2 linked regions of the Drosophila melanogaster genome follow. The protein of the gene in region 2 purifies or fractionates together with the protein of the main gene of each other region. This does not show direct contact. Each region holds a gene or a part of one and is shown on either strand. Other genes may lie near its edges.

Region 1 (6,067 bases), on a different chromosome or scaffold from region 2:
TTCCGGCCTACTCAGATCCATGGTGGATCCGTAGTGCAGGCGGGGAATGGAGCTGCGATGCTGATCGTTTATCAGGGGCAGTGTTTCCATGCTCTTGATCTTTTGGCCATAGGGCAAGCTGCGGATGGGATCCCTGCCAATGGAACCCCTTCTTATTTGGGCTCTTGGCGTGAAGGTGTCGATGGAGGAGGTCAGCGAGTCCCGCTGCTGGAGAATGCCCTTCTGCGGAATGGCCAGCTTGCTGCGACTGTGGCGTCCACTCATATTGAACTGAACCGATGGGCGTGGCGAGTCATCCGTGGTCTGGTGGACGAGGTGACTGGTGTAACCCAGCGCGGAGGGCAGCTCAGGCAGTCGCGGCTCTGAGCCAAAGATCGATCTCCGTCGAGGACTGATCTGAGGCCTGCCGGCCGGCGATGAGGTAGTCGTCGATGTCGACTGAATGGAGGCGTGTCTTCCTCTGGTGGGAGCTTGTTGTGGAGGCCGAGGAGCAGAAGAAGCTGCCTGTCCCGTGGAAAGTATCGTGAAAGCAGTCTTTTTGTGTGGACGAGGTTGCTCCACTCTAGAGGGGACAGAAAAACTTGAATATATGTATTATCTTTATGGATATTTTCCACAGGATAACCTTACCTATAATCTCCGCCCATAGGTATTGAATCCCTGATGATAACTGGGGACATTTCCCGCTTTAAGCTATGTTCAGGCTCCACACTGCGGCTGTCATCCTGCTCCGTCAAGTCAGTTCTACGGAAAGGGGGCGGGTCTGCCGGTGGAGGTGGCATTCTATAGTCCTCCAGCGACTGCCTCTGGCTACCTCTCTCCAGACCCAACTGTTCCTCCAGATATTGCTTCGGTGAGAGTACAACGTCCCTGCTAACGGGCCTGCTTTGGTTGGGTGCCACTCGCTCCTCTCCGCCGCTGCTCGAGCTGTTCATGTCCTGGATCATGGTGGCCAGTGGGGAGAGAGGTCCTTCATCCTGCTTCATCGACATAATCATTTTGGAGCTGGGCCGCAATCGTGGGATGCGTGTGAACTCTGGAAAGTGCTGTGGCGCCGGACGGAACCAATCCCTTCCCGAATAGGAGTCACTGAGTAATCTAAGAGGAGGTAATCACGAAGGATTAGTTTGGATAATATATTGGTGTATTCAAATACCAACCCCCTGTGGTCCTCCGTCGTGATGCTGGACACACTCAACTTGGCGGGCGCTTGGCTAGGAGTCCTCGTCGGCTCATCTTCCTCATCATCGAAAGACATTCTCTGACCGACTACGGTGTACTCCTCGACCTCGTTCTCCAAATCATAAACGTCCGGCTTGTTCAGAATGTCATCGGGGGCCAGGAGCCGATAGTTAGGTGAGCCCAGTTGCTCTGAACTGGAGCCACCGCTCGAGTTGGGCAGAATCTGGATGTCGGGTGGCTGGAGATAAGGCAGTAGGGATCCTCGGGGAGTCCTCGAGTACGGGACACTCGGAAAGATGCGTTCCCTGGCCGCAGGAATAAGTGCGTTCAGCGCCATGGCGGCCACCAGCGCATCCTCCTCGGAGCTGGGCAGTTCCACAGACCCATTTCGCAACGTCTCAAATGCTGCTGTTCCGAAGTAATCATCCGGCTGCAGAGGCGGTGGAACCGGATCCCCAAAGAGGCTACTATACGGCTGGGCATCCGACTCCGAGGGCTGGCGCACAAAGCTCTGATTGGAGGCGAACGTGGAGGGTGCCATCGATTGGGCGGAGAGAATGGAGCGGGTGGTATGGGTGCGATAGCTATAATCAACCGGGATGATGGCCGGCTGGAACGCGGACTCGCCTCCAGTGGATCTGGGTCGTGGTATTGGGTTCGTACTTGGACGTATGTTCAGATTCGGTGTCAGATTCGGGTTCGGTGGCGGCGTCTGTGCGGCTGAGGCTGATGGCATGGGCATCGGGGATGGGGATGGCGATGATGATGAGTACGAGAGGGTCTGCTGCATGGCTTGACATGGGTGCTAACCGATCTTCGGCCCTCATGCATTCACTATGATTTCCTATCCATTGTTGCAGCGTTTTTGCGAAATTCAGTCGTGGTTGCAGTAGTTGGAAGCCGATTTCCACGCAGGACACTCCGCGTTCGTCCTTCGCTTTAGTTTAAGTGCCACAAAACCAATGACGCCAGGAGCTGTTTATTCGAAGCAACAGAATGTATTTAAAAATCACTCACAACACCCATGTGCGCACATCTTTTGATTCCACAGACAGACGACCAGCGAGACCTTCCGGCCCTCTTGCAATGTCAGAGAGACGTACACGCGACGCCTTCACCGGCGGAGAACGGATAACGGAACGAGGAGCACGGAGCACGGAGTAGGCAGTCCCAAAAACCGGAGAGCGAAACTGAAGGGCTGCCGGTTTCATTGCCAATTCGCAGTGATGGAAAAGGGTATTGAGTATGTTTACCTGGGCGAATTTTTAAAAATAATAATAAAAGTAATTTCTGTCTTCATACCAAGTAACTTTTTTCAAATATCCTAAATTTTTAATAGCTTGAGTAAAGTAATTTAAATTCATCAGCAATTAAAAAAAAGTAATTAGGTACAACTGCCCGGATACGTCCGCTTCCATCACTGGTTGTGGCAAAAATAGTAGAGTAATTATTACTGCACGGCTTTATTTTCTAATGCCATTTCACTCCACATTCAACTATAAATAGCTGCGTGCGAGGCGCTGATAAAGCCGCCCCGAAACCAAACCGATTTGAAATCGGAATCGTTATGGTATGCCATGCACCTGCTGCTATATGCGAATCCGAGTCGGACTCCCAACTCCCAAACGCTTGTCTTGGCGCTAACGAGAGCATAACTTGATGAGGAGGCCTCAAAGGCTTGAATGGGGGGAATGGGGATGGGGATTTGCTTTTGGGCGGATGGCTTCGGCTTGGCTGGCTGCACCGGCGTTGCATGTTGCAAATTGCCGCATTAGTGACTGCACTTGAAGTCGAACGACCCGGCAGATGTGGAAGCCAGCGGGCTGAGACTATCCTATCACCAGAAGAAGGCGATGGTTTAATTGGAGCTGTGCGGCTGGGTACGCAGATATTTTAGCGAAATGACGTAGCCCATGAAGGTTTTGGGGGGGAAGGTGGAGGAAAGGTGTGAATGAATGGCCTTTGTTCGCATTGATTTTCCTCTGCCTAATATTTAACCTACATTTTATGGCCCGCCGCTCGAATTTCGGTGACACACTTTGGGCCAAAAGGAAGTGACTTGGCCGGCTCCTTTTCGTTCCTTTCGTTTTGTTTTGGCCATGACGCGTTTTGGGGGAGTTGGCCGGCTCCCAGGCGGCTTAAGCTTCCTATTTGCGAATTGGTTTTTTAATCGCTTGCCGCATTACACGCAGTTTTCTTGCATCTCATTAACGCTCGGTCACACTTGAATAACGAATTTTAATACCTGCCACGTCCACACTGACTGTGTTAGTTTGGTCCTGGAGCGCATTATATAATTTACATTTGGGTTTTAAGTTTAGTCTAATTCGGAAATAGAATGTATTTGCTGAAAAGCCGCAACAAATAATGGAAACGCGACGAAACGTGGCCGCTGCCTAACTTAAACTGATGGCCGACCAGCGGTAAGTGAGCAAAATGGAGGCCTTCAAGAGAAATATTGCCTACACTTCAAATCCAAAACAGCACACAATGCCCCCCCCCCCCACACACACACACACTCGGTGCCCCAACAGTTTGCACACGCAGACCCGCTGAGATATCGAGACTGGCGAACTGAAAAGCCGAAAAGAAAAGGCGACCGGGGGCGCCAATTCGCCGCGACTTTTCCGCGAGTTTTCCGCATTTCGCCGCCTAGCGAGGCGGCTGCATTAGCCGTTTGCATGTCGTTGTGTTCATCTGTGCGGCGTGTGCTTCTTTCTCAGCTCTTTCTGCCTCTTAGACAACTTTTGATTGCTTCCCCCAGTTTCCCCCGGCTGGCTGTGACACCTGTTGGTATGTCTGTGGCACGCGATGTTCCAACACTTTTGTACTTCTACGCCGCACTGCCTGCCACCGAGAAGCTCAGTCAGCTAATTTTTCATACTTTTCGGGATGCCTCATAACTTTAATGCCACTTGTATCTATTGAATGCACGCATGTATTTCAATGAACACTTTCGCTCATTTCACTTTAATGCAGTTTTATGGAGTTGGAGATTGCACATAAGAGCTCTGATTGAACGTAATGATAGGTATTAATAAAAACTTTCCTTTACTGTGTTCAAAAAAATCAGTTTAAAATACGCCTATTGATTTAGTATTGAAAGTAAATATATCCTTATTTTAAGTGTTTGAATATTTTATCCGCTAGAATGTCAAAAAATAGTTATGCGTCGCCCAAAAATTAGGATCACTTAATCACTGTGTGAAAGGTGTCTCTGCCCATAAATATTGCAAAAGGCTTCGGCAGAAGGACGCTTTTCCTGCACTCGACTGAGTGAGTATAAGACCCTCGGCGAGTACACTGCACTTTCCTTGGCTTTGGAATAGGGTCAAAACCGCAACAAATTCCGCGTTGCCTTGTGCAGCGGCTAGGAGTCAACAACACTTGGCCCGCAGCTACGAACTCCTTGGCCAGCCGGGCACTGTTGCAACATCAAGACAACAACGGCAGTGGCAGCAATAACGCCTAAAGACAGGTATGTGTGCAAACACAGACCACCCAAACCAAAGCCACGAATCCCTCGGAACGGGGGGACTTTTAAGTGGCAGTGCCGGAGAAATCCTTGGCTAATGTCGTGTTAGCCCCCAAAAACCCGCCCCTTGTGGGGTCCAACTCGAACCCCCAGTGGAGTCACACGGAGTCACAAGTCGGGGAATTCCTAGAGACATCTACGAGTTAATTGTTTTGGGCTTTTTCACTACACAACCGAGTTGGAAGTTTTTAATGTTTGCGATATATCCGACGATTTCTATCCGATTTTAGGCAGTTTGGTTTTAATTTTTAATGCACCGTTACTTGTAGAGTTATTGTCATAAAAAAAAAGGTGAGAGATTTTCAAATAAAAAACTGAATACCCAAAAAATTCAACGCGCATTTGCATCGATCCGATGCACTGCACTCGCCGTTCGTAGAAAAACTAATCCGCCGTGGGCAAATACCTTCTTATACATCGTCCTGCGCCGTGGAGCTCCACGGCAACTGACCAGTCGGGTTTAGGTGAAGAAACCACCGAAGAAAGCCGAAGTCCACGTTTGGCCAGCCACACGGGTATACGTGGGTCAGTAAACCTACTTCCGGTTGACATAAATACGCCTTGGACATGAAAACTTGGCACTGGCGGCGCGCCGCAAGTTGTTTTTATTGTTTCTAACCTCTTTTTTTTTTGCGCCATGACTCAAGACAGGTGGACAGCGTGGAGTCCACGAGTGCAGGTGTGCAGATGCAGATCTGATTCCCCCAATTGAAGGGGCTTCGATTAGCCGAGCCCAAACTCTTTGGCGGATTCACTTGATCTGGTTGAGAGAGCGCAGCAATCTAATCTCGACTTTGGGCTTGGCTAATCAAAATTCGGGAATAGTGCTGACCCTAATCTAGTGTGCCAAGCCCATGGATGAAAATTCATATAATTCAAAACTGCACCTTTGCTCACTGGGAGCGGTTGGGTAATTTTATTCGCTTGCAATAAGATTTTCCCACGCGATATGTGGCTCATCTGCTGGTCAGTTTTGTCCTTTTGCCATATAATTTGGTATCCTTGGAAGGGAATGGAGTCTACATCATGGGTTGACCCACATCGGGCACAAATTAATATCAATTGTGGCTGGCAGATTGCGTGTGCGAATATGCGGAGGGCTGGAGTAACAGCTGGACGAAGGCATGGGCATGGGATTGAAAGGCATTCAATTGTAATTGGCTGTGACCGAGGATTACACAATGACTAAGCGGTGCTCCCTGGCGAAATTAAGTCATAATTATTATGATGTGTATAGGCTTGTAAATAGCCGAGCTCGGTAATAAAGGTCACATTTTGTAGGGCACAGTCTGGGATCCTACGGTCCCGATACTCTGACCTCTTTACCGGGCTGCTAATAATGTAATTGTA
Region 2 (4,987 bases):
CGTGAGTAGAGGCTGCCACACATGTACGCCACCTAATGGCTCTTCCATTACAGAAACTTCCTGTATCCGCTGCCCAGAAGACAAGTGGAACTGCGCCAAGTGGATGGGCAGTACGAGGCGTTTAATCTGGTGGAGAAGACGGTGAAGCAGCAGCTGGGCAGCATCCTGATGAACGCACCACGGCTCAGCGCTCCTTGTGAGAGTCTCCTGGCCGGCAGCATGTCCATGGCGCTGTGCTACATATCAAGGGTAGAGAATAGCTAGGAATCGCCTTGGGAAACCAAATCTAAAACAAAATACTCCCGTACAGCTCCAGAGGAATCTGGCTCCTGGCGTCAAGATGCATTCCCGCATCCTGGTCGTCACAGGCAGCAACGAGTGCGCCTCGCAGTACATGACGTTCATGAACGTCTTCTTCACCGCCCAGAAACTGGGCATCACGATCGATACCTGCGCCCTGGACAAGACCCTCAGTTTGCTACAGCAAGGCTGTGACATTACCTCCGGACAGTTCCTCAAGGTCACCCAGCTGGACGGCCTGCTGCAGTACCTCCTGTGGGTCTTCCTGCCCGCCCCGCAGATCCGTCACAAATTGGTCCTGCCGCCACCGCCCAAAGTGGACTACCGCGCCTCCTGCTTCTGCCATCGTGAGCTGATCGACATTGGCTACGTCTGCTCGGTTTGCCTCTCGGTCTTCTGCAAATACAGTCCCATATGCACCACTTGCCAGTGAGTACAATTTAAACTTCAATTAACTAGAACTTAACTTAAGGAGCCTGACTATACTTTCCAGCACCATTTTCAAGAATCCCGGTCCTCTGCCCATCAAGGGCAAAAAGAAAAAGAAGACCGACAAGCAAATGTAATTCCAGCAGTAGAAAATACTGGTTACCAAAGGAAGCAGTATGTTAAATATAAAGGTACCTTTTTAGTTTACAACTCTTATTATTTATTGGGGCAACAGTTATATAGTCTTGTTAATCAGCCAACAACTTTCATTTAATCACACATTTCTGGTTATTTTACTAAAGTACATGGGTCCAAAGTTGGCCGGCAGGTAGGGCACCACCATTTGTCCATACTTGAGTCCCTTTGGGTGCTCGAACTTGAAGACATCGCTGAAGAGCGCCGTGTGGCGACTCAGATCCTTGATGGTAGTTGTGATGCCGTACTCCGTGAAGACCTTTTGCAGAGCCATGTGGACGACACCATCGTTCTGGATGGGCGACAGCGAGCAGGTGGAGTAGACCAAACTGCCGCCTGGTCGCAGGAGACGCAAGCAGTTGGCCAGGATGCCTGCCTGGAGCTCTGGTATCCGCAGGCGCTCCTTTATGCGCGTCGGCTTGAAAATATTGTTGTCCTGCTCGTTGAGCACATGGCGATCCGTGGTGCAGGGCACGTCGACCAGGATCTTGTCGAACTGCTCGTACTGGTCCAGATTGCGGGCGTCACTCTGGCTGAGGATGAGGCGCTTTCCAGCCCAGCGCTCCTTGTAGTCGAACAGGTACTCCTGCATCACTTTGCGCAGCTTGTTTAGGCGGGATTCTTGGATGTCATTGCAGACCAGGTGGTCCAAGTGCAGCGTCTGCAGCATAAGCAGCGATTTGCCGCCGGGAGAGGCACAGGCATCGAGCACACGCTCGCCAGGCTTCACCTGCAGGAAGAGAGGCGGCAAAGTCGAGGCACCATCCATCATAAAGTGGGAGAGCACACCGGTCATGCACTTCTTGGGTCCCTTGAAGTCCGAGCAGTTGCCCATTTCATATGTGTACAGGGACAGATGCTCGGGGTAGTGAAAGGAAGGCTCCGGTTCAATGGCGAGCGGGAAGTCGGCGCTGGTTTGGTAGTACTTGTAGTGCTCCGACTCTGCCACCCAGTCCTCCATGCCCTTGATGCTGTGGGCAGGCATGTATTCATACAGTCCGCCTGTGCCAAATTGGGGATCCACCAACCGATGCTCGTCCAGCTTCACATCCTCCTCCAAAGCCTTCGTCAGGCTCTGCTTGAAGGGATTATTCACTTGCTCCGGCTGATCTTCCTCTACGTTGTCAAACTTCAGTTCCAGCGGCAGTGGCGCCGATGAACCATCTTCTGGCGAGCTCGGGTATATGGAGGCCACCTCGCGCTCCTGCTGTTTCCGCAGCAGTGCATCCAGTTTGCTTTCAATTTCATGACGTGATTTGCCTTGTTCCGGCACCGTCTCCGTGCTGTCCTTTACCCGATCCTGCGCCAGGTTAATAAGCGACTTCATGTTGATGGCTCCATCTGACTCCAGCATGGCGCACGTCTGCTCCGTGTCCCCGAAATTGTTGACCAGGGCGACATACTTGTGCCTCGTGAGAAGCGCCGCCCGCATGTTCTTCCACCGGGTGCCGTAGACACTTCCGTAGAAGTCATCGAAGTTCTCCAGCGCTCGGTCACAGTTGTTCTTCTTGTTCTGCAGGACATTCCATCGCTTCTTGGCGCCACTCTTCCACCTCCTGGACAGCAAACAAACGTTCCGTGCTTTCAACATTTTCCGCAATCCGTTGAAACCGGCAAAGGCAAACTGATTACATGAAATCATATGTTTCTGCCGGAATATCGATAACGGACTCTGTCTTTTGGCGCCGCAGGTTATCGGAGTTTAAATTGTGATAAGGATGCAAAGAAAGTTGGTTCTTAGATGTTACAATCAATTTCACAACCCAATCTTTGCATTGTTGAGTTAGGATCATCCTCTAGCCTTACATCTTTTGCCATTTAGTTACATCATGCAATTGTTCATATCTTCAACCAAACAGATAGAACAGATCCCCTGTTTATATATTTTTTTATACGTACAGAGTTGTAACTAAATCCTCTGAGATTCTGTGGAATGGCTTATTGCTAGCGCTAAATATAAACAGGAAAATGGGGTCATTCACCCAGAATTTCCATCGAAATTGAGGCTGAGACCCATTCTCCCTTCCCCACCAGAATTTGTTTAGGAACCCCCGTGCATCCACTATTACGTCGCTTTATTTGTAGACAACTTTTGAAATCAAGAGTGTTAAGTACATTAGGCGGGCTGAAGTGTTTATCCGTAATGGATACGGCTACTAACTATTGGTTTACAGCGATCTAAAAACTACAGTGCACGCCCTAAATAGCGAACGTATGTTCAATGAATTCGCTATTCAGGGTGGGCATTGTACACTTGTAATTGGTATTTACAGTCCAGCATTGACCATTCCACTTTGAACTGGCTTTATCCAAGAGTTATCCGAATAAGCAGCAGTTCGTCGAGTAATTGAGGCAGAAGATTCGGGGCGAGATTGTTGGCTTAGGGCTTAGTTGGCAGCTCCTTCAACGGAGTCTTTTCGTCCTTGGCCTCGGGATCCTTGGGAGTTCCGGCCTTGTTCCACGGCTGCTCGCTGCCCGATCCCAAGAAGACGAATACCAGGAATTCCAAGGCGAACAGCACGATGGTCACTCCGAAAATGATGCGCCAGGCGCCAATGTTTTGCTAAAAGAATGATTCGAGAAAGCCATTTGAAGATATTTTCGAGAATATTCAGATGCATTTCTCTTACATTTCCCTTGGTGACGAAGCCCACGAAGAGGGGGACAACAATACCAGGTAGCGTAGCCGCCGTGTTGGTCAGAGCCACCAGGGTGCCGGCGAAGTTCGGTGCGATGTCGATGTGGTTGGACAGGAAGCCGGAGAACATGGAGCCCATGGCCACAATGCCCACGGACATGACAGACACCGCCTCATAGTGACGGCATCCGATGTAGCAGAGGACCAGCAGACAAACTCCAGGGATCAGGGTGCAAATGGAGGTGGCCGTCTTGCGGGCAACGGTGGTGGTGATCTTACCTAGAAAGCACATTAAGGTATTTATACCACTCACCCTTCAAAGGTCCAATAATGTGTCCGACTTACCCTTGGCCTGCAGACTGTCGAGGAGCTTGCCCAGACAGATGCTGAAGATGATCATGGGGAAGTAGGGCAGAGCACTGAGGGCTGCATTGCTGGCCACGTTGAACTTGAGCACCTGCTTCATGTAGAAGGGAATCTCGATGAGGAACATATACCAGCCGAAGTTGCTGCAGGTGTGGGCGATGAGAATGGCCCAGAAGGGCACGGAGGTGAAGACCTTGCCCCATGGAACCGCCGGGTGGTGCTCCGTCTTCTGTTCGGTGCCCAGCGAGCTGGTGATCATTTGGCGCTCCTCCAGACTGATGAAACGCTGCTTGTTGGGGTTGTCCTGGACCAGAATGACCCACAGCAACATCCAGATGCAGCTAAGTGCGCCCATGACATAGAAGACCGACTCCCAGCCCCATTGGGCGGAGCACACGCCGGCCAGGAGGATGGAAAGAGCCGTACCCGCAGATGTGCCCACGTAGATGATGGTGGACATGACCATGCGCTCCGTGGGAGGGGCCCAGGAGGCGATCATCACGTGCATGGCCGGGAAGGAGGCTCCTCCGCCGACGCCCTCAAGCACTCGCATCAGAATCAGGCCACCGTAATGCAATTCAGTAAAGACGGGCGTTAGCAGCGTGCACACGACGTTGATGGCCACCGAGAAGAGCATCACCCACTTGGCGGAGAAGTTCTCGGCGACGTGTGCCAGCGGAATCTGCGAGACCAAATAGCCCCAGAAGTAGCAGCTCAGCAGGGTTCCCTGCAGGGGCTCGCTCCAGTCGAAGGGACCGTCCTCCACCTTAGCCGTCACATTGGAGGCACCACCCGGCGGGTTGCATTCCTCCACCAGGGACACTTGGGAGGCGTTCGAAAGGATGACGCTGCCGTGTCCCCCATGTCCACCGCCGTCTCCGTGGGCCTTAATGGCTGTGTGGTTCACCATGGCCACCATGGCCACGCTGAGATTCACCTTCAGGCCGTACACAATGGCCATGCCGATGGACCCCAGGAGGGCCAGCACATAGCGGGCGGGCACGAGTTCTGGAAAGTAGATGGTAAGGTCTTTGTAAATCTTTATTTTTACTTGATTCG

The links.
Region 1: the proteins of l(2)10685 (region 2) and stum purify together in Drosophila melanogaster (affinity purification with mass spectrometry, with the first as the bait; one large-scale study listed by BioGRID). This does not show direct contact.

What each region holds. Positions count from the first base shown.
Region 1 is NT_033778.4:21,672,420-21,678,486, reverse strand, and holds the start of stum (stumble), read right to left. Parts: upstream 3,587-6,067; 5' UTR 3,185-3,586; intron 2,414-3,184; exon of another isoform or gene 2,158-2,413; 5' UTR 1,973-2,157; coding exon 1,161-1,972; intron 1,099-1,160; coding exon 631-1,098; intron 563-630; coding exon 1-562.
Region 2 is NT_033779.5:1,145,393-1,150,379, reverse strand, and holds l(2)10685 (lethal (2) 10685), read right to left. Parts: upstream 2,559-4,987; 5' UTR 2,516-2,558; coding exon 1,004-2,515; 3' UTR 931-1,003; downstream 1-930. Other genes in the region: Tfb4 (transcription factor B4), read left to right, coding at 1-1, 54-249, 311-729, 794-866; MFS3 (major facilitator superfamily transporter 3), read right to left, coding at 3,305-3,487, 3,555-3,841, 3,908-4,936.